Oreochromis niloticus: one gene and its partners. The protein of the gene in region 2 binds, or shares a complex with, the protein of the main gene of each other region. Links are inferred from orthologs where the notes say so. Each region holds a gene or a part of one and is shown on either strand. Other genes may lie near its edges.

The links. The genes of interacting proteins can lie anywhere in the genome.
Region 1: the proteins of rad9a (region 2) and hus1 are in contact, whole or in part, in a crystal structure (PDB 3GGR), measured with the Homo sapiens proteins. The link is inferred for Oreochromis niloticus from reciprocal best matches to the Homo sapiens genes RAD9A and HUS1. Residues at the interface, in NP_004575.1 of Homo sapiens: Leu157, Pro158, Pro161, Val176, Ala186, Lys191, Ala192, Met193, Val194, Thr195, Glu196, Met197, Cys198, Leu199, Gly200, Asp203; in NP_004498.1 of Homo sapiens: Thr84, Asn87, Arg90, Ala91, Lys93, Thr94, Phe110, Ser121, Ser123, Ser126, Arg127, Ile128, Val129, Thr130, His131, Asp132, Ile133, Pro134, Ile135.
Region 3: the proteins of rad9a (region 2) and rad1 are in contact, whole or in part, in a crystal structure (PDB 3GGR), measured with the Homo sapiens proteins. The link is inferred for Oreochromis niloticus from reciprocal best matches to the Homo sapiens genes RAD9A and RAD1. Residues at the interface, in NP_004575.1 of Homo sapiens: Leu76, Ser82, Val83, Ser86, Leu90, Lys92, Leu112, Phe116, Gly117, Val118, Arg119, Lys120, Thr121, His122, Asn123, Leu124; in NP_002844.1 of Homo sapiens: Glu165, Ala166, Ser168, Glu169, Asn195, Ala196, Gly197, Ser198, Ser199, His200, Leu201, Asp202, Tyr203, Pro204, Asp206, Ser207, Glu211.

What each region holds. Positions count from the first base shown.
Region 1 is NC_031974.2:189,386-199,179, reverse strand, and holds hus1 (checkpoint protein HUS1), read right to left. Parts: upstream 4,302-9,794; 5' UTR 4,167-4,301; coding exon 4,115-4,166; intron 3,473-4,114; coding exon 3,345-3,472; intron 3,228-3,344; coding exon 3,051-3,227; intron 2,627-3,050; coding exon 2,519-2,626; intron 2,429-2,518; coding exon 2,354-2,428; intron 1,249-2,353; coding exon 1,149-1,248; intron 899-1,148; coding exon 764-898; intron 663-763; coding exon 580-662; 3' UTR 264-579; downstream 1-263. UniProt on the Homo sapiens protein: Component of the 9-1-1 cell-cycle checkpoint response complex that plays a major role in DNA repair. The 9-1-1 complex is recruited to DNA lesion upon damage by the RAD17-replication factor C (RFC) clamp loader complex.
Region 2 is NC_031966.2:22,443,572-22,453,198, forward strand, and holds the start of rad9a (cell cycle checkpoint control protein RAD9A), read right to left. Parts: upstream 4,923-9,627; 5' UTR 4,687-4,922; coding exon 4,653-4,686; intron 4,560-4,652; exon of another isoform or gene 4,537-4,559; coding exon 4,466-4,536; exon of another isoform or gene 4,343-4,465; intron 4,331-4,342; coding exon 4,257-4,330; intron 4,146-4,256; coding exon 4,097-4,145; intron 1,818-4,096; coding exon 1,703-1,817; intron 1-1,702. Other genes in the region: uncharacterized protein zgc:113229, read left to right, coding at 6,429-7,238, 7,314-7,456. UniProt on the Homo sapiens protein: Component of the 9-1-1 cell-cycle checkpoint response complex that plays a major role in DNA repair. The 9-1-1 complex is recruited to DNA lesion upon damage by the RAD17-replication factor C (RFC) clamp loader complex.
Region 3 is NC_031972.2:18,191,703-18,201,558, forward strand, and holds the start of rad1 (cell cycle checkpoint protein RAD1), read right to left. Parts: upstream 4,302-9,856; 5' UTR 3,775-4,301; intron 3,493-3,774; exon of another isoform or gene 3,281-3,492; intron 2,949-3,280; 5' UTR 2,905-2,948; coding exon 2,710-2,904; intron 2,597-2,709; coding exon 2,488-2,596; intron 2,398-2,487; coding exon 2,240-2,397; intron 2,024-2,239; coding exon 1,923-2,023; intron 983-1,922; coding exon 884-982; intron 1-883. Other genes in the region: c21h18orf32 (UPF0729 protein C18orf32 homolog), read left to right, coding at 4,345-4,524, 4,745-4,810; dym (dymeclin), read left to right, coding at 7,222-7,361. UniProt on the Homo sapiens protein: Component of the 9-1-1 cell-cycle checkpoint response complex that plays a major role in DNA repair. The 9-1-1 complex is recruited to DNA lesion upon damage by the RAD17-replication factor C (RFC) clamp loader complex.

The DNA.
Region 1 (9,794 bases), on a different chromosome or scaffold from region 2:
TTTCAGGACATCTAGACCTTTATGTGCCTGTAGTGGGTATCATCTGCATAGCAGTGGAAATATAAACAGTGTTTTCTGTGGGATGTATTATCAGGTAAACGACCACAAACCGTACCAGCCAATCATGTGGCTGCACTGACACCGAGCCGAGGATCAGAACAGCTGTGTTATCATGTTCACACTCTGGGCTATCTCGAAGTGACAGGAGACTGAAGAAGCCACCTGGATGAGCGAGCTGCATCGAGACACTGCAGCCTGAAATGTTTATACTTCAGTTTTTATTTTATTGTCACTTTTTAAAAAAGCAACTTACATATTTGAATGTTTTTACTTTAACACGTTTTTAATCAAAAACCACCGAAACGTCTCACAAACACAGACTCTTTATCTCAGCAGTCCAAACCTCCTCCGTCGTCTCCAACACCATCACAGGTGGGAGGAGAGCCTGTGAGCTCCACTCTGAGCCTCCGTCAGATGGAGCACAGGCGCGGTCAGCTTTGTCTCCATGTGACGAAACACCTGAAACCATTTAGTCCATTTTTACTTCCTCAGACTGGCGCTGAGTGCCGAGCAGAGCGTCTACGCCACAGCGGGGATAAAGTACTGCAGCGACATGTCTTCATGCAGGAGAATCAGGTGGAGGACGCTCTGATGGACGATGTCTGAGGAGGACGAGAGGACCGAGAGAAACGCATTAAACTGTGACGTGGATTAAACCCCGGTGGGTTTTGTCCTGAGTGCGAACATGTGAGGGGAGACTCACTGCACATGGCCTTGCTGGGGTTGACCTGCTGCCCCATGAGGAACTGCTGCAGCCTCCTGATGTCCACCCTGGCCTCCACCATGCTCTCCGGGTCCCTGCTCTGAGACGGGCCGCCATCCTGGGAGGCGTCATCGCCTGAAGGGAGGGAGGAGCAATGTATGAAAAGTGTGGACCACAGGCCCGCTGATATACTGATAATCAGTAATTATTAAACATAAATGAGACACTCTGTGTGGCTCTCAGCAGCAGGTGGAGGGTGTGGCTTTAGGCCCCGCCCCCCACAATTAACTGTTATCAGGGATCTGACGTGTTGACTGAGCTACAGAGATCACGGAGCATCCGTCAGCAGGTCTGAGCTGCTCGTGGAGCTAAAACGTGTTTTTACCCCACGGAGGGTTTCCCAGGTCTCTGAAGTGAGTCGTCACGGAAACCAGATCGGTCTCAATCTTCAGGTTCATCTCTCCGTTCAGGTTGGCTTCGATTACCTGACAGACACACACACAGAGTAGAAAAGCGCTATATAAGAACAAGTCCATTTACCATTTACACACACACACACACACACACACACACACACACACACATCAATAATAACGTTCAGGTGTTTTTTTTGGTTAGTTTTCATGAAGATTCAGACTTTAAAGTCTCTTTAAGGAGAATTATGATTCAGATTCACTGGTAAGGAAATTTTCTGTCTTTGATTCAGAAAACTTGTGACATTAAATCCTTTTTTAATTAGATTTTCATGTCATTGAAGGTCATCCAGTTTTGGAAGAAAGGAAACTTTATTGATCTAAATGAAACTAACTGATCATTAACTACTAAAAATATTCTAAATGTATCCTCCTGTGTTGAATCTACATGTTCATACTGAGAAGGCCACACAAGTCAGTATTTCACTCATTTCACCGCACAAACACTAGGTGGCGGTGGTGTTTTCCTCTTGGAGTTGACTCTTCAGAGTCACTGCTGGAGGTGTTTATGAAACCTGAAATGAGGCTTCTTGAAAAGTTCATGTTGGTTACAGCGAGGATTTAACACAGCGCTATAAAACCCAACTAACCAATCGAGGCAGCAGTGGGTGAACGCTCGTGTAAAATCCCGAGTCTGGCGAGGTGTTAACACCTTCACTTCCTGTCCGACCGCAGGTAAAAAGATGAAAACGCTCCAAATATTTCAGCATATTTCATCTAAACATCTAAAGCGACATAAGGCTTCAGGTTCTGTGTGTCACCTGTCGCAGGTAACATGAGGCCCGAGTTTAAACATGACATTATTTTTTCTGCATTGTTGACAAAAATGTCTAAATCTGACTTCTCAGGAAAAGCTGACATAAACATCGTGTTCACATTCAATCCAATATTTGTCCTCCTACATCGGGCCGGGCGGAGGGCTGAAATACAGGAAAATGTGTTTCTTCACATATTTCAAACGAAAGGAATTTAGTGTCATGTTAAAAAAATGCCGGGCAGTTTGTTACACGTAACCGCGGCAACAGCTGTTACTGAAATGACCCAAATCCAGAGAAATAAAGCTGCAGATCTTCTCTGTATGAGTCCGTGTTTGATCTGAACATGTTTAACCTCCTACCAGGAAGTTGGAGAGGTTCTTCATCCTGTCCACGATGTTCTTCATGGTCTTCAGGGGAGGGAGGTAGATGCTGACCTGCAGTGACACAAACACACAACCCGTGATGGACAAAACAAAGTCAGCGCTCATAAAAAGGATGATTTGGTGTTCGGAAGCTTCGCTTACATCAAAGTCCGGCATGCTCGGCTCTTTGAACTCGTGCCACAGTCTCCGGGGGATGACGTCAACGGGGACGTCGTGAGTGACGACTCGACTGACGCTGGACAGGGTGGGCTGGGCGGCACAGAGGAAGAGGGCTCAGGTTTCTCAGATTAAAGGTTCAAATGAGTTAAACCAGTTTTAAAAGCAGCCAGAAAAACAAGACGAGCCAATATGAGCTGTCTATGGCTCTGCTTTTGGCTTCTAGATTTGACTCTTGTTTAGTTTCCTCTCAGGGTTTGGTCGACACCTCAGCTGCGTTTATTGTTTTCTGGCCTTGGTTCACACTGGAGTGAACCACTCCACATTATAAATGTAACTGTTTGATAAACCTGTGGCTGGATTCTGGTTCGGAGACCTGGCCGTAGATAAACTTATCCCCAGATGCAGCGTATCGTCCGATATTATGAATAGTAATGTGAAATTAAACCTATATAATTCGAGCTGTAGCAGAGACAGACTTCTCAGGTAAACTGAGTTTTTTCTCGGATGCTCTCACCAGCTCGGCGGCGATGGTGAGGCAGGGGCAGTGCTTCTTGGTCAGTTTGACTTTGACCGCTTTGGCGTTCTGGACCGTCTTCAGGGCTCTGGACAGATTCTCCGGAGTCACCTCCAGACAGATCTCGTTGTCCTCGGAGGACACGCCCTCCATCTGGTACTCCTCAAAGAAGTTGGCCTGCGGGGAGGAAGGACGGGATCAGGGTACTGAAATAATTTAATAGGTCCTGATCATCTCAGACTCATTCCTGAGTTTATTTTCTTAGCAGCTGGAAGCCGGAGCGTCGGCTCTCACCTGTGACAGCTCACACCACATGCTGACGCCGCCGTTGGCCACTTTACCGGACAGAACGAAGAACAGGTTGTCCGGGGTCAGCCGCAGGACGCACATCTTTGTCAGCTTTGAGATGGTGGTGACGACTCCTGAGAAAGATCAGAGGTGTGAACCAGGAGCAATATTTAATCAGTCACACGCAGACTCGGTTAGTTTTAATAATAGTAGTTAATAGTTTAGTTTAATTAGGTATCTGATCTGCACTTCTGAATAACATGACCCTGATAAACACACTAAAAACAACAATTAATACTACAACTATTGAAAACTAAGTACAACTAGACATTTTAACATTAAAACTTACTTTCAAAAACAAAAATGAGCTAAAAATGAAAAGTGGAAAACTAGAGCAGCTCCACAGAGCCATTAAATAACAGATTACTCATTCAGCATAAACATACAGCTGATATTTTTGTGGTTGTTCATGAATCGGTCCAAATGTGCACTCATAGCCCTGCACAAGACTCCACGTAGATTTCGTTGAATTTAGATAACACTAATCAGGACAAACCACCAGTTAAACTGTCAAAGTCTGCGGCTCTTTGAGCACATGCTGTAAACCGAACTACAGACATTTCCTAACATGTCAGAAAAGTTAAAGAAAGAACAAAGTCCCGCTTCAGGAACTTTAAATTAGGTGTACTTTTATTTTCACAGTTTCTGTGCAGCATTTGGAGGGAAGCTAACAGCTTAGCTTCGGCCCTCGGTACAAACAGATGTTTGAGACTCACGGGTGAAGTGGTTCAAACAGGCGATGTCGATGATTTTCCCCCGAAACTTCATTTTTCCCCCGGGCAGCAGAATTTAATCTTCCGCTTTGACTTCAGGCGGGGAACTTTTTCATTTGTTTGGTCCGTCTGTGTCTACGGTCCGACGGAAACAACAGCCACATGGAAACTGTTAATCTTTCCGCCCAACGAAAGGAGAAAACAACCAGCAGAATTAAATATGTGGCACGGGGACCAGAACAGGGCCCTTTAAATGGTCTGTACAGGGGCAGAAAACTGTAGCGGACCAGTGCGGTCTATATTTTTACTTACATACTGTTGAAATCACACTTTTCAGTCTGTTCATTATCTTTTTGTAACTGGGATAGAAAATAACTTCAAAGATCCGTTTGGCAGCTTTCACCTAGAGTCAGCTTTTTGGTGAACACAGAATGTTCTTCACACTTAAAGATATGATGTCTCGTTAAATATTGGTCACTATATAACAGTTTTACACCCTGTTCTAGACCAATAAAAACACGAAAAACCCTCAGAAACAGCAGCCTGTGCATGCTGTGGCTCATTTTTACTCTGTGAGGTAATATTAGGATCTTATCAGAAAAATTATACTCAGACAATCCTGTAAAAAAAAAGAACTTCAACTTCCAGAGAGAAAAAAGGCAACAACTTTTAAAAACCTTATTTTGTGGCAACTTTTCAATGTTTTTTTTAATTTAATTTAATTTTTTTTTAGAATATTAGACTAAAGCTTGTCTACATGCATTAAATTAAAGATATTTTTCTTCAAAATACTTAACAAATAAATAAGCATCCTAAAGTGCCGCTGAGTGTATTTATTTATATTTTTATTCATATAAATTATTGATTTGGACACATTTTCTCATATAAATTTAAGTGACATCAGGCGTGTAAATCTCATGTGTCTTTGAAGATTTAACACAAACCTACATTTTACCATCAGACGGAAACAAGTTTATTCCCATTGCTGAAGCATCACACTGTGATCATGTTTGTTCTTTTTCATGTGCTCATTTATCGTCTCTGAGTTTTCTGAATTGAGTTCATTTTATCGCTGACACACATCATTTGTGATTTTCTTTGAACGTGTTTCTAAAAATAAGGAGGTAAAATATTTGTGTCTCTTTATCAGCTGAAAAACACCTCAGTCGATCACAGTCAGCTGCAAAAACAATAATAATAATAATAATACATTTTATTTATAAGCGCCTTTAAGGCCCTCAAGGTCACCTTACAATAGCACAAGAAGAATAGCAACAATACAATATAATAAATGTGGCAAAATAAAATTTAGACATAAGGTAAAAAAACAACAACAACAACAAACTGGCATGAAAGTATAAAAGCTGAGCAAGGTAAAAATGGACTAAGACAGAATCAGGTGTATGCAATTCTGAATAGATGGGTTTTGAGATGGGATTTAAAAGTGTGTGGTCCGTAGAGCAAGTGGAAGTGCATCCAAAGTCTCGGGGCAGAACAACTAAAGGCTCTGAGTCCCATGGTAGTCAGGCGAGCAGGTGGAACAGACAGAAGGGAAGCTGAAGAAGAGCGGAGTGTACGAAGGGGTGAGTATGTATGGAGAAGATCAGATAGATATGGAGGAGCGAGGTTATGAAGCGCTTTGAAAGTAAGAAGCAGGATCTTGAAATTGACACGGAGGTGAATTGGAAGCCAATGGAGCTGTTTAAGAACAGGTGTTATATGTTCAGTGGATCTAGTTCTGGAAATAATACGAGCAGCTGTAATTTTTAACTAACTGCAATTTATGGAGGGATTTATGAGGCAGACCATAGAGAAGAGAGTTACAGTAATCTAAACGAGATGTGACAAGAGCATTGACAAGTATGGTGATACTGTGTGGTGTGAGTGAGGGACGAAGGAGGTTAATATTACGGAGATGAAAGTAGGAAGACCAAGTGATATTATTTATATGTGCTGTGAAAGACAGAGTGCTATCAAGGATGACACCAAGACGCTTAACCTGAGGGGAGGATGTGACAACAGAGTTATCAATGGATAATGAAAAACTTCTGGGTGAGACTTTGGTCAGTTTTGATTTGGCGCCTAACTGGAGTATATCGTGATCTGTGAGGGAGTAATTGAACAAACTGTGAGCGGCCAGAGAGATAAGAGGTAAACCAGGCGAGTACTGTACCGTTGATGCCATCCATCCATCCATCCATCCATCTTCATCTACACACCCTGGGGTGGCTGTAGCTCAGGTGGCAGAGCAGGTCAGCCACTAATCAGAAGGTCGGTGGTTCGATCCCAGGCTGCATCCTGGCTGCATGCCAAATATCCTTGGGCAAGATACTAACCCCATGTTTGCCTACTGGTGGTGGTCAGAGGGCCCGGTGGCGCCTGTGTACGGCAGCCTCGCCTCTGTCAGTGCGCCCCAGGGCAGCTGTGGCTACAATGTAGCTTGCTATTGCCAGTGTGTGAATGTGTGTGTGACTGGGTGAATGACTGAATGTAGTGTAAAGCGCTTTGGGGTCCTATGGACTAGAAAAGCGCTATACAAATGCAGGCCATTTACCATTTCATCCACTTTATCCGAGGCCGGGTTGCGGGGGCAGCAGCCTAAGCAGAGAAGCCCAGTCCTCCCTCGCCCCAGCCACCTCCTCCAGCTTATCCGGGGGAACACCAAGGCGTTCCCAGGCCAGCCGAGAGATATAATCTCTCCAGCGTGTCCTGGGTCTGCCCCGGGGCCTCCTCCCGGTGGGACATGCCCGGAACACCTCACCCAGGAGGCACCCAAGAGGCATCCTTGTCAGATGCCCGAACCACCTCAACTGGCTCCTTTCGATGTGGAGGAGCAGCGGCTCTACTCTGAGCCCCTCCCGGATGGCCGAACTTCTCACCCTATCTCCAAGGGAGAGGCCAGCCACCCTTTGGAGGAAGCTCATTTCTGCCGCTTGTATCCGCGATCTCGTTCTTTCGGTCACTACCCACAGCTCATGGCCATAGGTGAGGGTAGGGACGTAGATCGACCGGTAAATTGAGAGCTTCGCTTTTACACTCAGCTCCCTCTTCACCACGACGGACTGGTGCAGCGTCCGCATCACTGCAGCCGCAGCACCAATCCGTCTGTCGATCTCCGGCTCCCTTCTCCCATCACTCGCGAACAAGACCCTGAGATACTTGAACTTCTCCACTTGGGGCAGGAACTCATCCCCGACCCGGAGTGGGCACTCCACCCTTTTCCGGCTTAGAACCATGGCCTCAGATTTGGAGGTGCTGATCCTCATTCCCGCTGCTTCACACTCGGCTGCGAACCGTTCCAGTGCGAGCTGGAGGCCCTCACCTGATGAAGCCAACAGAACCACATCATCCGCAAAAAGCAGAGATGAGATTCTGAGGCCACCGAAGCAAAAGCCCTCCGCCACTTGGCTGCGCCTAGAAATCCTGTCCATAAAAATTATGAGCAGAACCGGTGACAAAGAGCAGCCCTGGCGGAGCCCATCACCCACCGGGAACGAGTCCGACTTATTGCCGGCAATGCGAACCAAACTCTTGCAACGGTTGTATAGGGATCGAATGGCCCGTAGCAATGGGCCAGACACCCCATACTCCCGCAACACCTCCCACAGGACACCCCGAGGGACACGGTCGAATGCCTTCTCCAAGTCCACAAAACACATGTAGACTGGTTGGGCAAACTCCCATGCACCCTCAAGTATCCTTGAGAGGATGAAGAGCTGGTCCAGTGTTCCGCGACCAGGACGAAAACCACATTGTTCCTCCTGTATCTGAGGTTCGACTAGCGGACGAACTCTCCTTTCCAGAACCCTGGCATAGACTTTCCCAGGGAGGCTGAGGAGTGTGATCCCCCTGTAGTTGGAACACACCCTCCGGTCTCCCTTCTTAAAGATGGGGACCACCACCCCGGTCTGCCAGTCCAGGGGTACTGCCCCTGATCTCCACGCAACATTGTAGAGGCGTGTCAACCAGGACAGCCCTACAACGTCCAGAGCCTTCAGGAACTCGGGGCGGACCTCATCAACACCAGGGGCTCTGCCACCAAGGAGTTGTTTAACTGCCTCAGTGACCTCGCCCCCGGAAATTGGCGGGTCATTCCCCTCATCCCCAGACTCTGCTTCCTCCTCGGAAGACGTGTCAGTGGGATTAAGGAGGTCCTCGAAGTATTCCTTCCACCGCCTGACAATTTTCTCAGTCGACGTCAGCAGCGCTCCGCCAGCACTATACACAGTGCAGGTAGAGCACCGCTTTCCCCTCCTGAGACGCCTGACGGTTTGCCAGAATCTCTTCGAGGCAGTCCGAAAGTCTTTTTCCATGGCCTCTCCGAACTCCTCCCACACCCGAGTTTTTGCTTCAGCCACTGCCCGAGTCGCATTCCGCTTGGCCTGTCGATACCTGTCGGCTGTCTCCGGAGTCCCACAGGCTAACCAAGCCCGATAGGACTCCTTCTTCAGCCTGGTGGCTCCCTTCACCCCTGGTGTCCACCATTTGGTTCGGGGGTTACCACCACGGCAGGCACCAACCACTTTGCGGCCGCAGCTCACTGCAGCAGCTTCGGCAATGGAGACGCTGAGCATGGTCCATTCGGACTCAATGTCCCCAGGCTCCCTCGGAATGCTGTTGAAGCTCTGCCGGAGGTGTGCGTTGAAGATCTCGCGGACTGGGGCCTCTGCTAGACGTTCCCAGCACACCCTCACTACGCGTTTAGGTGCACCGGGTCTGTCCAGCGTCCTCCCCCGCCACCTGATCCAACTCACCACCAGGTGGTGATCAGTTGACAGCTCAGCCCCTCTCTTTACCCGAGTGTCCAGAACATATGGTCGCAGGTCTGGTGATACGATTACAAAATCGATCATCGACCTGCGGCCTAGAGCGTCCTGGTGCCACGTGCACTTATGGACACTCTTATGTTCGAACAAGGTGTTCGTTATGGCCAAACTGTGATTTGCACAGAAGTCCAATAACAAAACACCGCTCGGATTCAGATCAGGGAGGCCGTTCCTCCCGATCACGCCCCTCCAGGTCTCGCTGTTGTTACCCACGTGAGCATTGAAGTCTCCCAGCAGGACAACAGAGTCTCCAGATGGGGCACCTTCCAGCACCCCACCGAGGGACTCTAAGAAGGCTGGGTACTCTGAACTGCCACTCGGCGCATAAGCGCAGATGACAGTCAGGACCCATTCCCCGACCCTAAGGCGCAGGGAACAAACCCTCTCGTCCACCGGGAAAAACCCCAACGTACCGGCAGCAAGCCGAGGGGATATTAGAATACCCACCCCAGCCCGCCGCCTCTCACCAGGGGCAACTCCAGACTGAGACAGAGTCCAGCCCCTCTCCAGGAGACTGGTTCCAGAGCCCAAGCCATGCGTAGAGGTGAGCCCGACTATATCTAGCCGGTACCTCTCAACCTCACGCACTAACTCAGGCTCCTTCCCCACCAGAGAGGTGACATTCCATGTCCCTATTGCCAGTCTTGGCAGCCGGGGATCAGTCCGCCAGGGCCTCCGCTCCTGGCCGCCGCCCAGCACACAATGCACCCGACCCCTATGGCACCTCCTGCGGGTGGTGGGCCTGTGGGAGGATGGGCCCATGTCTCCTCTTCGGGCTGTGCCCGGCCGGGCCCCATGGACTAAGGCCCGGCCACCAGACGCTCGCCCTCGGGCACCCTCCCCGGGCCTGGCTCCAG
Region 2 (9,627 bases):
GGCTGCTTGAAACATAATATTTTTCTCTAATGGTTATAATTTTTATTCATGAATTCTAAATTCAGACAAAACTGTGGTTAATGTACTCAGCCCAAAAAATCAGAGACAGATTCTTACTCTGGATGGCATTACCTTGGCCTCCAGTAACACTGTGAGGAATCTTGAAGTCATTTTTGACCAGGATATGTCCTTCAATGCACATATTAAACAAATATCTAGCACTGCTTTCTTCCATTTGTGGAATATCTCCAAAGTTAGAAACATCCTGTCTCAGAGAGATGCTGAAAAACTAGTTCATGCATTTATTACTTCTAAGCTGGACTACTGTAATTCGTTATTATCAGGATGGCCTAAAAACTCCCTGAAAAGCCTTCGGCTGATCCAAAATGCTGTGGAAAAAGTGCTGTCAGGAACTAGAAAGAGAGAGCACATTTCTCTTATACTGGTTTCTCTTCGTTGGCTCCCTGTTAAATCCAGAATCAAATTTAAAATCCTGCTCCTCAAATACAAGGTCTTGAATAATCAGGCCCCATCTTATCTTAATGACCTTATAGTGCCATATCACCCCAATAGAGCTTGCTGCTCTCAGACTGCAGGCTTACTTTTAGGCCCCTCTTCTGTGGACCCAGGTTCTGTTTTCTCTTTATTATTGTAGAGTCTTTATCTTACCATATAAAGCGCCTTGAGGCAACTGTTGTTATGATTTGCTGCTATATAATTAACATTGAATTGAATTATGAACCCAAAAAAGTATCATCAGATTTTTATCCACCTCTCAATATCAACTAAAAAATGTCTGATTGGCAATGGCTTCATTTTTCAGCAAGGTAATAATCCCAAACACACTGCCAAAGCTGTTAAAGCATACTTGGATAGAAAAACACACTCTCAGTCGTGGATTGGCCTCTCCAGAGTTCGGACCTCAATGCTATTAAAGCAGTGTGGGACCATCTTGACGGAAAACGGAACAAAAGGCAGCAAACATCCAAATAAGACCTTTGAATGAAGCCTGGAGAACTATTCCTGAAGACTACTTAAAGACACAACAAGAAAGCTGCCTAAGGGTTCAGACTGTGTTGAAGAATAAAGATGCTTATAGCAAATACTGACTTTCTAACTTGTTACAATTATACAGTTTTTGCCTGATATACTGTATTTCCATGTATGTTTGCATGTTTCAATAAATCCCTGCACCTATTTCCTATTTTATTAGCAAAATATAAAGAAATGAGGAGTGACTCAAGAGTTTAGCACAGTACTGTATAGTTTAATAAATACATGTAAAAGCCATAGGAAAAAGGGTAGTTTTTCATTTAAAATAGCTACAGTTGAGGCACCTCTAAGTTTCAAAGAGATTATAGAAGTTTTGTTTTAGCTCTGTGCAGCAGTGACTTGCAGGCCTGACAGACTACATTTTACTCAGTCAACTTATCTCTAATATATTTGGGTTCTGCAGTATCTGGTGGACTATTAGAGTGTAAGTACAGACTTATAAATGATAACTACTTGTATTATAAATACAGAATTATAAAGACTTATATTTATCTGTAAGTCAATGCAAGGATGTAAGAACTGGATGTGTTCCCTCATCTCTGGGTTTGACACCAGCACCATTTTACATGCCTGAATGAGTTGTAAGCCTTCTTAAATCATCTATGGAAAACACTTTAAATGATCTGATAATGAAGTGAATCACTGATACCGTGCTTGCAGTGCAGGGTGAAGGTGAGACGGTCCTTCTGTTTGTCGAGATCAATGTGACACTTTTCCACTGTCTTCTCCAAAGTTGTCAGAGATCTGAACACAGACTGTACACTCTGAAACACAGGGGGGAAATAATGCTTATCAATACGCAATGACACACTCTGGTAGCAATCAATGCGAATAAACATTTTAGTGACACTCAAATGATATCTAAATCAATATGTTTGCCGTTTCTGAAAAGTGACACACAATCCAGTCTCTGATATAACTGCTAAGTACAACTGTTAATACGAGGAAGCTGTGAGGTTTTTGCAAAACTTGAACACAGATAACCACAACCGAAGGGTGGTAACACGACAGGAAAGGAGGCATTTGAAGCTGTCAGCAGATACAAGACTACACTCTCAATCCTAAGAATAAGATCTGCTATTCCTAACTGTAGTTACATCAGGGAGGCCCAAGTACGGCCATCATGCAGTTAATTTGAAAAACAGCAACAACGAAAAAAAAAACAAGGAACAGAAAAAATCATTATAAGAAAGTGTGATGTTTATCTTTAGTATGTTTAAAATCAAAGTAATCAAGAAACTATCAGCCACATTTCCCTAACATAGCAAACCGAGACTGAAAATGAATGTAAACCAGTGAGAAAAGGAGAAGAAAAATATATAGAGAGTAAGTTAAAATTGACATTTTTCACATTTTGGTAGTGGTCACATGAATGCAAACCTGACCAAACTATTAGACAAAAATCAGACTGGCAGCTGTAGTTTCAGTACATCTTTTGTGATCGAGTGGTTGAACTTTTTGTGATGGGACTTTGGGGTTTATTGCAAGGTCAATGTAGTTATTTAAAATTAACTGTGAGCTTAAAAAGAATTAAAACTAGACTAGAAAACAAAAGAAAAGTAACTGAAGTGATACTTATCACAACCTGCCTGAGGGGCCTTTGGTAAGCATGCTTAGTGAGATCCGTGACAGTCAAGTGACTGACTCTATGCAATCCCGAGATAAACTAAGTACCGTCTTACTGCTAGGTGCTTGTAATCAAATTCAAAATGTGAGTAGTTTGCATGTCTGGAGCATTCAGGTGTGTGTTAACACAATCCCAAGGATGGAACGTCAGCAGTGATCTTAAAGAAGCCATTGTTGATGCAAAGCAGTCTGACAGTGGTTATAAACCGAATTCCAAATAATTTGAACACAGTGGGGACGATTAATTACAAGTGGAAAACATTCAAGACAGCTGTCAATCCTTCCAGGTGTGGACGTCCCTGCAAACTCACACCAGTGACAGACTGTGCAGTGAACAGAGAAACTGCAAAAAAAAAAAAAAAAAAAAAAAAAAAAAAAATCCAAGAGCTACATTTCAGACTCTACAGGCCTTAGTTAGCAGTTAAATGTCAAAGTTCACGAGAGTACAATTAGAAAAAGACTGAACAAGTTTGGCTTGTTTGGAAGGGTTGCCAGCAGAAAGCCTCTCTTGGCTGTAAAAGAATATGGCAGCACATCTTCGGCTTGCAACTGAAGAAACCACAAGACCTCTGTTTGGTGAAAACCAAACACAGCATATCAGCACAAACACCTCATACCAACTGTCAGGTATGATGGGGAGAAGGTGATGATTTGAGCCTGTTTTGCAGCCACAGGACACTGACACCTTCCACTCATTGAGTTGACCATGAACTCCTCTGTTTACCAAAGTATTCCAGACTGAAATGTGAGGACATCGGTCTGACAGTCAAAACTTGTCCCAAACAGCATCATGCAGGAGGACATGAATCCCAAGTACCACAGCAAATCTACAACTGAATGGCTGAAAAAGAAAATAATTAAGCTCTAGACCTGACCCCAACTGAACTGCTGAGGTGGGACCTTAAGAGAACTGTGCATAAATGAATGTCCGCAAACTGTGATGCACTGAAGCAACACTGTAAAGAACAGTAGGCCAAAACTCCACCACAAAGATTTGAGACACTGGTAAAGTCAAACAGAAAACGATTACTTTGAAACAATGTAAGAGACTCATAAACTTCAAGTGATTGCTCCTATAGGTGGTTCTACAAGCTACTGAATCATGGGGTGTACTTAGTTTTTCACAGTTCTAACTGTAAGTAACAAAGACCTGAGAAAGCTAGTTTTCACAAGATTGTAACTGGAACTTAAATACCTTCACAAAGTTGCATATCTGTAGTAAAAGCTAATCTGAACTTGTGAAAAACACACCTCTGGCATATCCTAAATGTTCCTAAAGAAAAGAACGCTATAATAACTTTGGGTGTTATGTCATCATGAAAGTTTGGGAACCACATTATCTACTCAAATGTAATCAATGTCACACCCAGACTGTATAACGCCTTGAAAAACAGAAGCTTATCTAATTCTCTCACACCTTTATTGCCATCTTGCAGCGGAAGTTATCCCCACTAGTAGTGGAGTACCTGCACAGAAAAACAGAGGTATAAAAGGCAGATTAAAGTTAGCTCATATACACGCTTTCTTTTTCTCTCACACAGAGATGCCATTTATAAACACAGGCATGTATTCTGCACCTGCTGAAGAAGAGTGGTGCGAACAGGAAGCAAGCATAAGCCGACCGAGAGGAGTTCACAGACCGCAGGGCCAGCTACGAGAGAGAGAGAGAGAGACCAACAAATCAACTTTTTTCATTGACGCAAAGTGTGCACCCACAGGAAGCAACAAGCCTATCTGCATTGTAGGAGGAAGTGATGGTGTGCAAGTCAGTGTCAGAACAGCTCACCCCATCTTCCTGAGGCTCAACATACAGCTCATCGCCGATCCTGGACAGAGAATGGACGGCTTTGGCCAGTACTGGACGGTACAGACACACCCACCAACACACGCACAAGATAATTATTAGCGACAACTAATTAATGATACATATTCTAGCTAGAGACTGTGTTTAATATGCAGGAAATGTCTGCTACCTTTCACGTTTCCTCCCGTTACGATACAGTGCATCTCTGCAAACTCACTTTTCCGCTAAGTTAGCACATTTGGCTAAAAGTTAGCCAAAACGAGCGGCTAAGCATCACCGAGAAGTACACAAGACGGAGTTTTAATCGTTTCCACACCGAGAGCAAATCTTCCTACCGAAAGCATACTCCGTTTATTTCCAGTCTAAGTTTATTTTTCTCGGTTAAGCAGTGTCTCTTTCATCGATGTCAGCGTTGTTTACGCCGCCATTACCCGCTTACAAAGTGCGGACCAATCAGATACACGGCAACTTAAAGGGGGCGTGAGTTTGACAGTGCACATGCGCACTTAGTTTCCAAGTGAACATTCTGCCACTTGTCTTTTTTTCACTGCATCTTCGTGGCTGGTTATTTGTGATCGTCCCGGTTAGAAATATATAAAGATGGCGTGACGAAAAAACAAAAAATAAGGTATTAATGTAGTGGATAAAGAAGTATATTATTACTAATTGTTATATAAACTTTAGTTAATGATCAGCAACATGATTATTATTAAATAAGTTCATGTCAGAATAGGAAAGTAACTTTTCAAGTACTGTAGTGTACCTAGTTAATCTTATAGTCTAAACCTTCAGTCAGAAAGAAGGCAGTACAATTACTGTAATGACAAATGGTTTAAAATGCATTTTAGTAGGCTGAAATGTAGTTAGAACAGTTAAGAGTTTATCAGGGCAGCAGCATCTTGTAATGACTTGCAGTGGGGAACAATATAGCTGGTGGCTAACAAACCTATAAGAAATATTGCATGGTGTTCTCCAAGCTGAAGTACACTGCATGTTTGGAGAATCTACTACTTTATTTCAACAACAGTAGCAAAGAACTCTGTGACAGCATTTTTCACAGAATTGGTATAAAATGGGTTACTGCAAAGCTCAGTGCAGACATTTTCCTATATCTTTAATTTGGCAGGCGCATACATAGCGGCCGCTCTTAAAGAACGCCCTATAATTATCAGTTACGGGTCACAGAGGGTGTGTGTGCACTTGTGTGAGCAAGCGTGCCAAGTAGAGAAATGAGAAGGAAGGGAGGGCAAAATACAAAGATGGGCAGAAAGACACACAGTGGGAGAGAGTTAGAGTCAGCAAACAATTATCTCACCTCACTGGTCTTTCTTGTTGGTCTGCTTCAGTTTGTAAGATCTGAGGAACGCAGCCGTGCACAGTCTCCCCTCCCATTACCAGTGATATAAGTGGCTGCTGGAGAAGAGGTGTGACTACAACACCCGTAGTGTAATGGAACTATGGGTATTTAGTAAAAGCGAGAGACTTTTGAAAATTGGGAAAACAACAAAAGCTTATATCTCTTTGATGCAGAACAAGAGAAGAAGACTTCTGCTGCTCTTCTTGAGGATCGAGGATTAGTGGAGGCAGCATAAGAAGCAGCAGTTTACACAGAGAAGAAGAAGAAGAAGGATTTCTACCTCTGGACGGTTAAGTGGAAGAGGTGGATCTTTCTTCATATTTGCTATGAAGCAACTACATTGTCATGGAAAGGGATTGGATTATTCAGAAAGGCGAAAGCAGCCATAACAGGTGTCTTTCTAACAAGAACTGGACCAAAGAGTGATATCTTCTACACAAAGGTATTTTTCCTCTTGTCATGCTGGTTGTAAAGCGACGAATTATATTACTTGCGTAGAGTCCGTCCTTGTTTATCCGGTTTCACTGTGGTGTTGACACGTGTTTCTGCGACTCCTGGATTTAGAGGACTTAGAGGTTGTGTTCCTAGATGTCTCAGTCACCTAATCCAGCAGACTCCCACGCCCTGCTGCAGTCCATGCTGCAGAAACTGAGGCTGCAGTCGGAAAGAGAGGGCCAGGGGCACCGGCACACACTTGGACCAGAAAACAGCAGCCCAGGTACTAATGGTATCCCTTCGAATAAGGTCAGGAGCCCTGCTGCAGACAGCAACTTTAGCTTCAAATTTGGTCAACTACAGCAGCCCGGTCATGGAGGTGGGGTGGACAGGGGTTTTATTTCCTTCCCCTCCCAGAAAGACAACAGTGATGGTGACACTGGTGATAGCAGGGTTATGGGACAGGCGACACAGCCTGCGATCACCCCAACAGTAACAGGGCAGCTGTTTCCTACCACATCACTTAAGGATGCTTCCTTTGAGAGGACTGATACTGAGAAGTGGAGTTTTGGCAATTCTGCAATGAAAAGAAGCATGCCTCCTAACGCACATGCTGCCCAAAGCATGGGAGTGAATGAGAACCAGGAGCAGGGCTTTAAACCTAAGGCCTACCTGTGGGCCGTGAAAAACACAGACCCTTTCGCAGGAGGTCAAGACAATGAAGCGTTAAACGTAGGAAATGGAGGATTTGGAGCGATGGCAGAAAACAAAGATTCGCAGGTTGCCACAGACAGTCAAAAAACAACAAACAGCAGCGTGAGGAGGAAACAGAGATCATCTGAGAATAAAACCAGAAGGTGGACGCAGAGGCTCAAGGATCGATGGAAGGACAGACAAGGAAAAAAGGGAAAAGAAGAAGAAGGAGGAAGCATAGGAGACCAGAAGAGTGAGGAGGGACCTGAGGTGAGTAGTGTGTTTTGTCATATAATCATCAAAAAGAAATCTTGAAGTGACACTGCAACTTGTTTTTTCACGCAGATTTCACACCCAAACCAGGTTACAGAAAGCCTCATCAATGCATCAAATAAGGATGAAAGGACCCTCCATTCACTGGACACCAGTGGAGCCAGTAAAATGCTTCCTGCACGCACACAGGACGCCACTAACGACAGCCACATCAGGTAACAGGCACACAAATGATGCTAAATTGCACAAATACATCCAGACCTGCACTCTAGCAGCATGGCACAAACTGAAAGCCGTACAGGTTTTTTTGGCTTTATTTACTTTGAAACGTCAGCAGTAAGATATGCAAAGTATTTGAGATGTTTCCAGCCATCGGACATCTTTACTTTTGATGTGCGTCTGTGGTCTGATGTGCCAAACACACCCTGTCACTGACAGCATGTCATTACAAACTTTCATGTGTACGATGAGATTTTTTTATAACCTGCTATAAAAGGAAACAGATGTACATAGTTTCTGTGCAAGTAACTCATAAAGAACGATTCTCTCATTAGAACTTAACACAAAAGATGGAAAGATACTCACATCCCAAAGCCAAGTTTGTTTCCTTTTTTGTTTTTCCTACCAGAGACATAAATTATTAAAAACTCCCATATATGTAGCTTTAATTTTGAAGGATTTGTAATTTCATAAAACAGGTAGACTTAGCTGGCTGGATCTTGAGGAAGATTGAGGAACACTACAAAAACATAATCAAGTGATCTAGATGTGGTGCAAAACTGGTCTGTAGTATATTTAATGTACAGGAAATGCCACCTGAGCTCTACTTGCTGGAAATGAGAGCATGAAAAGTAGGTCGTAGAGAATATGAAATAGCTTAGAAATTGTAAAAGTGCGAATTTGACCAATGACAAAAGATAAGAACAAGCCTTAAAGCTATATAAAAACATACCGATACTTGACTGGTGGTGTCTCAGGGGGTAAAAACAAATAACAACAGGCAACAAACAAAAACCAGGTTTTATAAAATTTGCTCTGGTCAGCATTTCAGTTGTATTGAGTTAACTTGTAAGCTTAGTTGGCCCATGAAGGCCCATGTAAACTAATCTAAACTACTGCCACAGTGTGTGTCATTGATGTGTTTTATGTATATTGATACATTTCTAGGGAAACAGTGGAGTTCTGTGGCGCAGTGGACTAAACAGTAATACTTGCTAATAGAATTTAGTCAAACATAATCGAACTGGCAAAGACTCCAATTCGGCCCACTGAATGTCTTTGGAAAATGTGAAGGAGGGCATACATTTTTGACTTTTAACTGTATTTTCATAAACTTTACAGCTTGTTCTAGTGATAAAGACCTTTCCCACAATCATTCATAATACAATAATGAAGTAACAGATAAACACAAGTTCCTGTTCTTTTACTATCTACTATAGACATGTCTGGTTTTTGCGAGAAGACCACAGTAAGGTAAACAAATAAAATAGGACATTTTCTGTGTATTGACAAAAGCTTTCTCCAGGACAGCCTGGACAATGAGCAAACAGAACTTTAATAATTTAATCTGCTGAGAGATTTCTTTCATTAAGTACAGCAGCATTTCTTATTATGCTGTAAAGCTGAGACATATTGTTAAAACTGCACTTCTTTTTTCCTATATTGAGATCTCTGAGGCATTAAATGTACTCTTACACAAAGTGGTCTGCATGTGGCCCATTATGTAAAATCAGTTTGATATCTCTGCTCTATAATATAAAGTTAGGTCCATAAGTTGTTGGACAATGACAGTTTTTGTAGTTTTGTTCCTGCACACTGGGGTTTTACAAAAATTTTGCATTAGCTGTTTAGAAATTTCAGGGGATCAGAAGTAATTGGTTGTACTAAGATAATTTTAAATCTAAATACAATTTTCAGTACTTGGATTAAAGTAATTTGCAGTCAGTGACTCAGCCGTTAGACTCCTGAACACTCAGTGACTGGACTGACACATATGCAGTGTCTCACATTCATACACACACACACACACACACACACACACACACACACACACACACACACACACACACACACACACACACACACACACACACACACACACACACACAGACACCCCTACAGACACCAAGTTATTTTTGCACAATACTCAGCATTTTGCACATTTCTATTGCACTGTGTTGTGTCTATATCGTTGTGTTTAGTGTTGCACTGTCTTGTCTTGTTTATTTTTTTGCACATTGCACTTTTACGTAGTCTAGTCCTGTGTTTGTCTGTTATATGTCATATGTAGCACCAGGGTCTCGGAGGAATGCTGTCTCATTTCACTTTGTACTGTACCACTGTACATGGTCGAAATGACAATAAAAGCCACTTGACTTGACTGGAC
Region 3 (9,856 bases), on a different chromosome or scaffold from region 2:
CTGGTTAGAAGCCATGCTGGCAATTACAGTTTGCACACAAGTATACAACACAAGGTCAAACCATGGGAGTCTACTTGAGTGAAGTATTTCCAATTCCAGGAATTTCTAGAGCACCTACAAGGTGAGTGTATACTTATCAGAGTTCACACTGGCACTCATTATTAGTGTGTGTACACAAGTGAGTGTCAATATTTTCAAAGCTTAGTTTGTTAATAATAAAAAATATTATCACTGCCCTTTGGTTATTATTAGTTTTCCAAAACATAAGCCATAAAATGCTCAGAATTACAATCAAATAAAACAAACTAGATTTGAAGAAAATAAAATACTAAACAGTTTAATATAAATATATTCCAGCATTTCTTATGTTTCATTAAAAATGACTTCCACCATTGCTGGAGGTCATTTACAGTCTAGTTTGTTGGCATTACCCAGCTGATGCTGGAGAATCTGATATACGTCAACTTTGTTGTCCAAGGGTATATTTGACACAGTGACTGAACAGATATACTAATTTTATAATTCTCAAAGGAAAGATGTGTATATCTTGTTATAACTTTTTAATTTTTGGACTTGGATAAAAACATTCATGTCAACATCTTCAAATTTTTCATTATTATCAGAGTTATCTGCCCGGCAGCCATCCGTGAACAGGCATGTAAAAGGGTCAAAACTGAAAATGAGAGTAATGTCAGTCACAGACAGTTGCGAGATAAAGATCACTGGTAGACGCCAGGAGATAAAGAGCACTTTAGTCATTCACTACTTTGTATGACATTTGGTTTTAGTCGCTGTGTTGGTGCTTCCTGTCCTACCAGTCCACCTATGGGTAGTTTGTGTTCTCTACAGTCTAAATAATCTGTGCATGTGTTCGTGTGCTGACCTGTTCGTTTGTGTCTCGGTGCACTTAAACAGCTCCATCATGTCCGAGTCTTTGGAGTAATCATAATGAGCATTTCCAGCATTCCCAAATGTTGACAACCTTAGAAAATCAACAAATCAAATAATAATAATATAAATGAAAGGTAAAAAGAGCAGCACTTTCAAAAATAATGCAGAGGGGACAAAGTTACACTGCAAACTACCTCAGCACACTGATAATGAATGACAGGAAAAAGATCTATTTTGTTACAACAAATCCTTGAAGAAAGTCACTGTTCCTACCTTTAGCTTAGCTATACATTATATTTAGTGTTAGCTTCAATCCGATAAATACAATCCAGCATAAAACATGCCTCACCTTTACCGTTAAGAAGACTTAGTTTCCAAGAAGTGGATTATGTCTAATCCCAAATACTTTCCCCAGTGGATAACTTCAATGACTTTTCTTTTAAGACCTTTACACACCAGACTCATAAAAGAATTCATTTAAATATTTTGTGCATTGAAAATATTTTTCGGACTTTTTTTCAATTTTCAGAACGCGAATAAAGAGATCTGCCAATCAGACCACTGCATTTGGCAACAAAAGTGTGCTTGTAGTTTAAAACACACACCGGTGCTGAAAACCGGTGATGCAGCAAAAGTAAATAATACAATTTTAATACAGACACACAATCAGTTCTACGAAATTACTTCTCTGTCCCCTCAGATGTGATCCTAACTCTGCCCACAAGAATTCAAACTACCCCAATGACATCCGGAAAGATGTATGTAAGTAAGCGGTCGTGATACAGCTTCAACTTCTGAATGAAACCACGAAATTCTCCTTGTTGCTCTGAAACCAGAGTCTCTGTTTTTATCATTTCAGTGTTTACATATGTTATGTATTAAATTATGAATTTCGTCAGGTTTTTTTCCCAATGCTCTTGGTGTGTAAAGGCCTTTACAGTCATTTTAAACACAGTTATTTTTTTTAACTTTAGCAACGTAATCATAAACCAGCACAATACTGTAGAAAAAGTACAGTAAGGACAGCACACCTGAAGTATGGTTGGCTGGGGGACATGGTAATCTGTAGCACTTCACTTGTCATGTCCAGTTCAGAGAAGGCTTCCTTCAAACTCTCTGACTGCAAGATCACCTACAAAAGAGCCAGGGATACATCAGTTGTTACCGAGTTGTGTTTCCTGTTTTCTAACACCTGCAGATACTGTTATCCCAATTGGATTTGTAAAGTAAGGAAACCAGAGAAACTGTGATTTCTGAACTGATTCATTTGTATTAGTTTATCGTTTCCCATCTGATTTTTTTGTATATTCAATATTCGAGTTTTAATAACAGAAAAAGTGAAATTAACCTTGTTCGTGACATTAGTGCTGCAGAACTCAAAGTCAATCGGTTCTTCTGGTTCTTGTGTGTTAATCTTGCACACGGTCACTACACCACCTTCCTCCAGGAACAACGTCAGAGGGTACCCATACCCCCTGTAGCACATCCGCAAGGCTGTTGATACACCTGCAACATCACAAAAAACAGATATAAAGCATGCCGAGTCACATCTCAGGTGGGGTTTTTTTTTTATTAGTTTATTTTTATAAATTTTACCTGGTGTTGTGGTTCCACCAAATATATTGAGGCAATCGAGGAGAACAGTGAGGTTGATCTGAAAAGCCACCAGATCTTCTCTTATGGTGAACTCTTGGAAGATCTCAGCCTGGGGGACATGAGTACAATTTCACTAAGGTATCAGTATTATAGGATTAAACACAACGTAAACATACCTGCTCATTTAAGTATGTTCACTAACAAAATACAAGAGAAGCACACCTGGATGAAGGCATTGGCCTGCAGACATTTCGAGTCCTCCACTGTGACCTTAAGGCCATTGGTTGTAGCTGTGAAGATGGCGTGATCTTTGAAGGTGATTGCTTTCAGGATGTTGGAGAGATTGCGAGCATTGTCCAAACTCGCCACTAAAACGTACTGTTCGTCATCACCCTGCGACTGAGTGGCGAGAGGCATTGTAGCGCTGAAAAAAAGGCGCACAGATACCCGCTGTGAGCTCCCTGTAAAGGTAAACACATCAAATTAGCCGCTCCAATCATACATCACATGCGCATGAAGTTGAAACTTTGTTGAATGGCGTATCATTTATATTCTAAATCGGACAGAATGTTAATACGCCAAAGTGATATGTGTCGACTCTACAACACACACACACCGAACTGTCACTTTGCTTTTACTGAAGTACTAAGCTTGTTTTTTTTTTTCTGTAGCTCGCTTGTAGTTTAAAGTGACGTAAAACAGAAATTAACGGTAATATAATTTACATCTGTACTATCTAGATCCTCCTATACATTAATGTATTTAAAATATTCCCCCCAAAAACTGTAACTACCTTCGTGTCTCTTATAAAGCTGTTATGCAGCAGTTCTTGTGATTGTTTTTGAAGAAAGGCGCCCGGTGGTGAACAACTTCCGCCTGTCGCTCTTCTTCTACGGAAGTTGGAGTTAAAGTACGTCTTACGTCAGCAACATTCCAGATATTTCGCCATAAAACATACTCTGCCCATCGGTAGTGCGTGACAACATCATTTTGTGATTGGCAGAGGTGAGAGTCTTTATTCTGTCTTCCTCGTGTAACAGTTCAAATCTTTTTATTTTTATGTTTGAACTTTGGTGACAGTTTTTCATAATCGTTATAGCTACCGGGGTGTGATAGGACGCTAGCTTTAGCTCACTGTTTGATTTGAGCTTAGAGAGCATGAAACCAATAGTGTGTCAACTGTCAAGTTAAAAATGATCGAAAAACAATTTACAGCACACAACAACGGAAATCATGAACAGAGTAATTTGTGTAGTCGTGTGAAAGAAAGCTTCCTTCTATCGTTACCTAAGGTAGCTCAGGTTAGCCTTGTAAACGTCAGTATGGCTGACAGGTCGCTCTGTGTGGAGGACCCAAGCTGCCAGAATAAATAAAACAAACAAAATAATAAACGTCTCAGTACAGTCATTTCTAACTTATATACACCAGAAGAGTTTAAAATAAACGTAGGCAGTAATTGTTGTAAATATGCCATAAATTTCTTTTTTAAATTTGTGTAACCTATTTATAAAGAAAGATTCCTTTACTTTTCAAATTGTGTACACATTTCTGTCATTTCAACCAATATATTTTTTTGCTTTATTTTCGTGTTTTAAAGTGTATGTTGGATTGTTGTTTGATTTGGGGGGGTTTTAGTCGTTTTTGTTTGTTTGTTTAATTGTTTGTTTGTTTTTGTTTTTTAACTATTGTATACATGTTAAGAAATTAATGAAATGTTATTAAATCACTCTACAGGAACCTTGTAGCAATATCTCAACAACCAACCATAAACTTACTATGTATTTTTTTTACAACTCACAATGTTTTTTTCTCTACTGCAGGTTTTTCCATTTTTACTGCCCTGTCTAAACCACAGCTATGGTGTGCATTCCCTGTATTGTGATTCCTGTCCTCTTGTGGGTCTACAAGAGGTTCCTGGAGCCTTATCTCTATCCTTTTATTTCACCCATTATTAATATATTCTGGAGCAAAAAGGCAGTGCAGGAGACCAGTACTAATGACCAAAAAGTTAGTGAAAAGAGTAATGGGACTTGCAAGGTAAGTAAATGGATAATTTTTGTGATGTTTTCATTAAGAAACTTAAAAATAATTATGGAAATATTTCCCAGCTCTGGTATATAGAGCGAATATATCTAAAAATGATAGTAAAACTAATAGGAGCCACTCAAAGGGTCTCTGTGTTGTGTCATTTTTAACGTAAAAATTTCATAGTTATTTGATTGCAAGTTTTAAAAAAATTTTCACTCATGTTTTTCAGCCTGAAAGCAACGGCGAGGCCACTGCTAATGGATCTACTATAGCAACGGATAAGAAGACAGACTGACACCTCAAAATATATTCAATGCTTCATAAACCATGTAAATATTTCATTCTTCTAGAGAAACTATAAATTAACTTATAAAGCATCTTGGAATTAATTGGATTTTATAACCTTCCAGTTGTTATTTGGAGCTTGTTTTTATTTTTGTCATCCATCTTGTTGATATATTTTCTGTTAATCATGAATTGATACATCTGTTTATTGTATTGAATGATATAGATTTTGTAAGTTAAACTTTAAGCATAAATAATGAATAAAATAAACAAGACCTCTTAAGTGCTTCCGTTGCTTTTTCTTCATTTTGAATAATGTGTTCTCTTCATATTTGAGTTGTTAAGAAAGCTGTTTTGTTCATATAACTTTGAAATAATTAAAATAAATATGAAAGAATGTTAGCAACTTGACACGAAAGTAAGTATAAACTAATAATTTAGACCTGACATTTGTGTTTACTGCCGGTAGTAACAGTGTTCAGCAACAGTGTTCCATGTTATTATACAGACATATTTATGTCATATTTATGACATAATATGTCTATGTCATATTTCTCCAGACATAGAAGCAACTGGAAAACATTTGTCTTCACACATTGCTCAAAAAGGAAAAATATAGTTAATAATATTTAATATCTTTAAAGTATTGGAATATACTCTACACTGATCAGCCACATCATTTAAGCCATTGACAAGTGAAGTGAATGCTATTATTGACTTGTTACTGTGTCTGCATATGTTCTGTTGTGTAACTTGGCTTCCCCTTATTCAAACACGTTCACCATGATGCTGACCGGGCTGTCAATTTTCCGAGATGCCTCAGGACACCCCATAATTTGAAATGTATATGCTTAAAATCCCCTAGCAATAGCCTAAAATAAAAGTTTTTTTAAACATATAAACAGCATGTATTGCACCAATTTTTTTTTCATCTTATCTTATTAATATATATTTTGCTGAAAGTGATTTCGTTTGCGAACAGCCGAAACAATGCTATAGTATGGGCATACACTAGTTATTAAAAAATGTAAAATAGAGAAGTTAAAAAAAATAGAGGGCAGCAGTTCTGATATTTAGCTTCCAACTGGACGAACACACGAAGAAGACGTAGTAACCGCCCATATGTCGTCATTACGCACAGGGTGGCTACGTGGAAAACATGGAGGAAAGGAGTATGTAGAGTAAACTTAACTGTCTGAATTACAAAACAATTTCAGACCTTTTCCTTTGTCATTCGCACTTAATAAATCAACTGGACTAAACTTCAGGTCACTTTAAAAAACAGTAGTCGCCCCTGAACGGTCCTGGGAGTCAGCAGAGCCGCGGACAGCTGAGAGAAGCGTTTATGACAGGTAAGCTGAACGGTCAGCTGGCTGCTCTCTGTATATGCGTTATTAACCACTGACTAAACCAAAGCACTCCTCAATGAGAAATTTATTAGCGCCTATTTCATTCTTATGTGGGACTTTGAGTTTATATTGTTTACTATGAAAACTGCTAAGCGGCAGGCTATTTCCTGCACTTGAAATCAGTATGGTCAAGCTAACGTCGTGCAAGTAGATTTTAAAACAATTCTTTAAACAGTGTCATTTAAAGTAAATATAATATAATGAATATAATGAATATGAAAACGGAATTTTAGCTCTTGCTGGAGAAAGATAAATTGTCCTTTATGGTTTAGCACTGCTATGCAAATATTGTAAATGCTATACTCCACTTCACTTATGCTGACTACACCTGTGTGTCTAAGGTGTGTCATTACAAAAAAACAAAAGTCATGTCCTGGTTCAGTGTGTGTCGTCCTGCTGTGATGCTGTGAACTTTGGCTTTCAAGGATGAGTTTGTGTTTGAGTTGGTGAGATCTGTTTTACAGTTTTTGTAATGCACGAACATGAAGAACCAGGAGTGTATGTAAACTGGCTCTTACTCTTGTGCTTAAGCTCTGAGAGCACTTTATACAGCATGTGTCATCACAACTTTACACACGGACACATATTCATACAAGCACATTTTATATGTCTAAGTGCTTTTAATCAAACATTTACACTCCAGTGAATGCAACTCTGGGTTCAGTGTCTTCCCCATGCAGCCTGCAGTAGCCAGGGATCGAACCTGTCCAATTGAACCACAGTCATCCCTGGCACCCCTGGTGCCCTTGTTTCTTAAAGCCCAAAGCGACAAGGATGGCCTCTGTCTATTCCTATTTAGATCTGAGTGTAGGAGATGTATAAATGTAAACAGAAGCTCATTCATTCTCACATTAACCTTAATGAATTTGCTAATTCTGTAGTTAATTTGAAGCTCAGTTGTTTATTGTCTGTGCCTCCAAAGATTAAAGCATTTTCTTTGTCCCAGGTTTGGCATATGCCTGGTGAAAAAGCAGTGAAGAGCAGCGAGTCTGGCTGAGCACAGTCAGCAAAGATGGGAGCCAACACCAGTCAGGTCAGTGACCTGTCCGATAATCCCAGCCTCAAGGCCCTGGTGGGCACAGAGTCCATATCGGAGAATGACCCTTTCTGGAACCAGCTCATCTCCTTCACCTTCATCAGTCCCACCAGCAGGTAAAAAGGAACACTGTTTTTATTGTGTGTGCCTTAGACACAGGCACACACACCTGAAATTCAATACGCCTGTCAGCCATCACATTAAAACTGCAAACAGTCATTGCAGTGTCCTACTTTGTCTCCAAGCATTTATGTTAGTTTAAAAAGACACTCACATTAACATTGTTGCAAACCAATCACACCCATCCATGGCAACCACAATCCCCGATGACATCCTACCCTACTAGCACATTAGTCCCATCAGACATATCTAGGATGTTCCATAGCAAGCCCAATAAACAATTGCCCCACCTCGCAACACAAAGGGGTGGGGGGAGGTGTCCACATAACTTTTACTTGGCATCACTCTACTAATTTCAACTACTTAATTAGTAATTTATTAAGTCAAATAATTGAGGCTATGACTTCTAAACACCACTTTACTGTACTTTTACGATAAATAACTTTTATACACAATGTGACACTTTAAATCACTCAGATGAAACCTTCACATATCAAAACCGGCAAAACAAGCAGTAAGTCAGGAAGGCAAACAGAGTGGAGGAAACATTCATATTGACATAAGTGAATTTTCCTGGGTTGCAGACCTGAGATGCACTGATGTTTTTAATAATGGTTTGTTCCCTCCACCACAAGGGAACAAAGCCTTCTAGTTAGAAAGTCCTTTTAAGATTTACACCCAGGATTTAAGATTAAACTGTAAGGTTTAATCTTAAATCCTGAGCAACCTGAGCACCTGAGCAACGATCTAACAGGGCTGCTGATCTGCTTGGCTGTGATCAGACCAGTTAACCGTTAACGTTTAGTTCCTTTGTAAACAGCACTGAAAACGAAAGGCACCTTGTTTGCGCTTTCAGGTGGACCATGACTGATTGACTGATGTTACATGTTAATCTACTGATGTTGTGATGTTTTTCATTCATAAAATAAATATAGCTACAGTATCTACCAAGTAACAGAAACAGAAGACACATGTAACATTTTACATTCATACTTAGTGTTTGTCTAAAATAAGACTGAGAAATAGTGTCCTCTGTATTAAGGCAAAAAGTTGAGGCCTGTCCAAGTATACAGCAATTTGCTGCTGTCAGTGGGTCGGTCATGAGTAATTATCACTTCAAGTCGTCCATTTGAACATTGAGATTTCTGGTTGACAAACTGGTGTTAGTTTCTTCCTGTGTGTATTTGCCCTTACACTCTAATTGCTGCTCAAAAAGATAAACACAAATAGCTAAAATATCAGGTTGCTGCTATATTGAACCAAACTACTGAATGGTAATCTATAATAACTAGTGCTCTTGGAGTGCTGTGTCGGCTACAGAAGGACACACAGAGATTTCTCAACAAATTCTGTTGTTTGACATTTTAAGAAACCTCATGTTCACCCTTTAATGATGAAAGTCATGTGACTTGAACCCATTGAGCACTTGCAGGTTCAGAAAGTGGAACATTGTTGCTTTTTCTAATGGTTTGGTTACATATGTAGCACTTTCATGCAGCGTTTTATGCGTGTCATTCTTCTCCAGTATTGCAACAGTGGGCTGGCTGTCCTTAATGGCTTTACTTCTGTTATTTGTTCAAAGGCTTATAGCCCTGTAGTTGTGTAAGGCACTTGGCCTTTAAACAAAAGGAATAAATCTTTAATTATTTGAGACGCAAACAGTCACATGGTGAGACGTGATCAAACAAGAGACTTTCAAATTGATAGTTTGTGGATACACATCTTTTTGCACAATTTCCTCTTGTTCTGAAAGTTGAATGATGGCCAGTGTCACTGTCTTTGTGCCATGATAAATAAGTAGTTGAAGCCAGCAGCTAGCTAAATTAACACCGAAACAGGAAATGGTGTAAAGTAAAATTAGGTGTAGGTCAGGATAAGTGTTTGCTGTTGTCATGGTTACATTTAAGGGTAATAGTATGGGGTATTTATTAATGTCAAAGATGGTCAAGTCTGGCACCACACTTAATCAGGTTCCCACCAACTCTAAAGCCGTTCATAGGAATGGTTGTCAATACAGCAGAAGAACAGACAGAGATTTCTTAAAGTATTAGGAAGATGAACCACTAATGGTTTATCTTACTAATAATCTGAGAAAACTCTGCCTCTTCTTCTGTTCTTCACCTGTGTTGACAACCGTTTATCTGAGTGAAAGGGAAGCGCCTGCACATTAAACTCAGCAGCTGCGCACGCAAAAAAGCCATCGTGCACACAAGAGTGTCTGCTTTGGACGTGCTGCTACAGTTTTACACTCTCGTGGGTAGCTCTCTGCTACTTACTGCACTTTCACTGTCTGAAGGCGGAGCCTAAAGGAGGACGGGGGTCCTAATGTGACTGCTCACTTTGATGGACACTTCAGTTTACTGGGTTAAACTAAGTTGCACTGTGGCAGCGACGGAACGATGTTTTAAACTTTATTTGTTTACAATTTGAAAAATAAAGTTGCCAAATTAATCATCAGCAGTCACTGTTTGCTGTGCAGCAGTGAAATTAC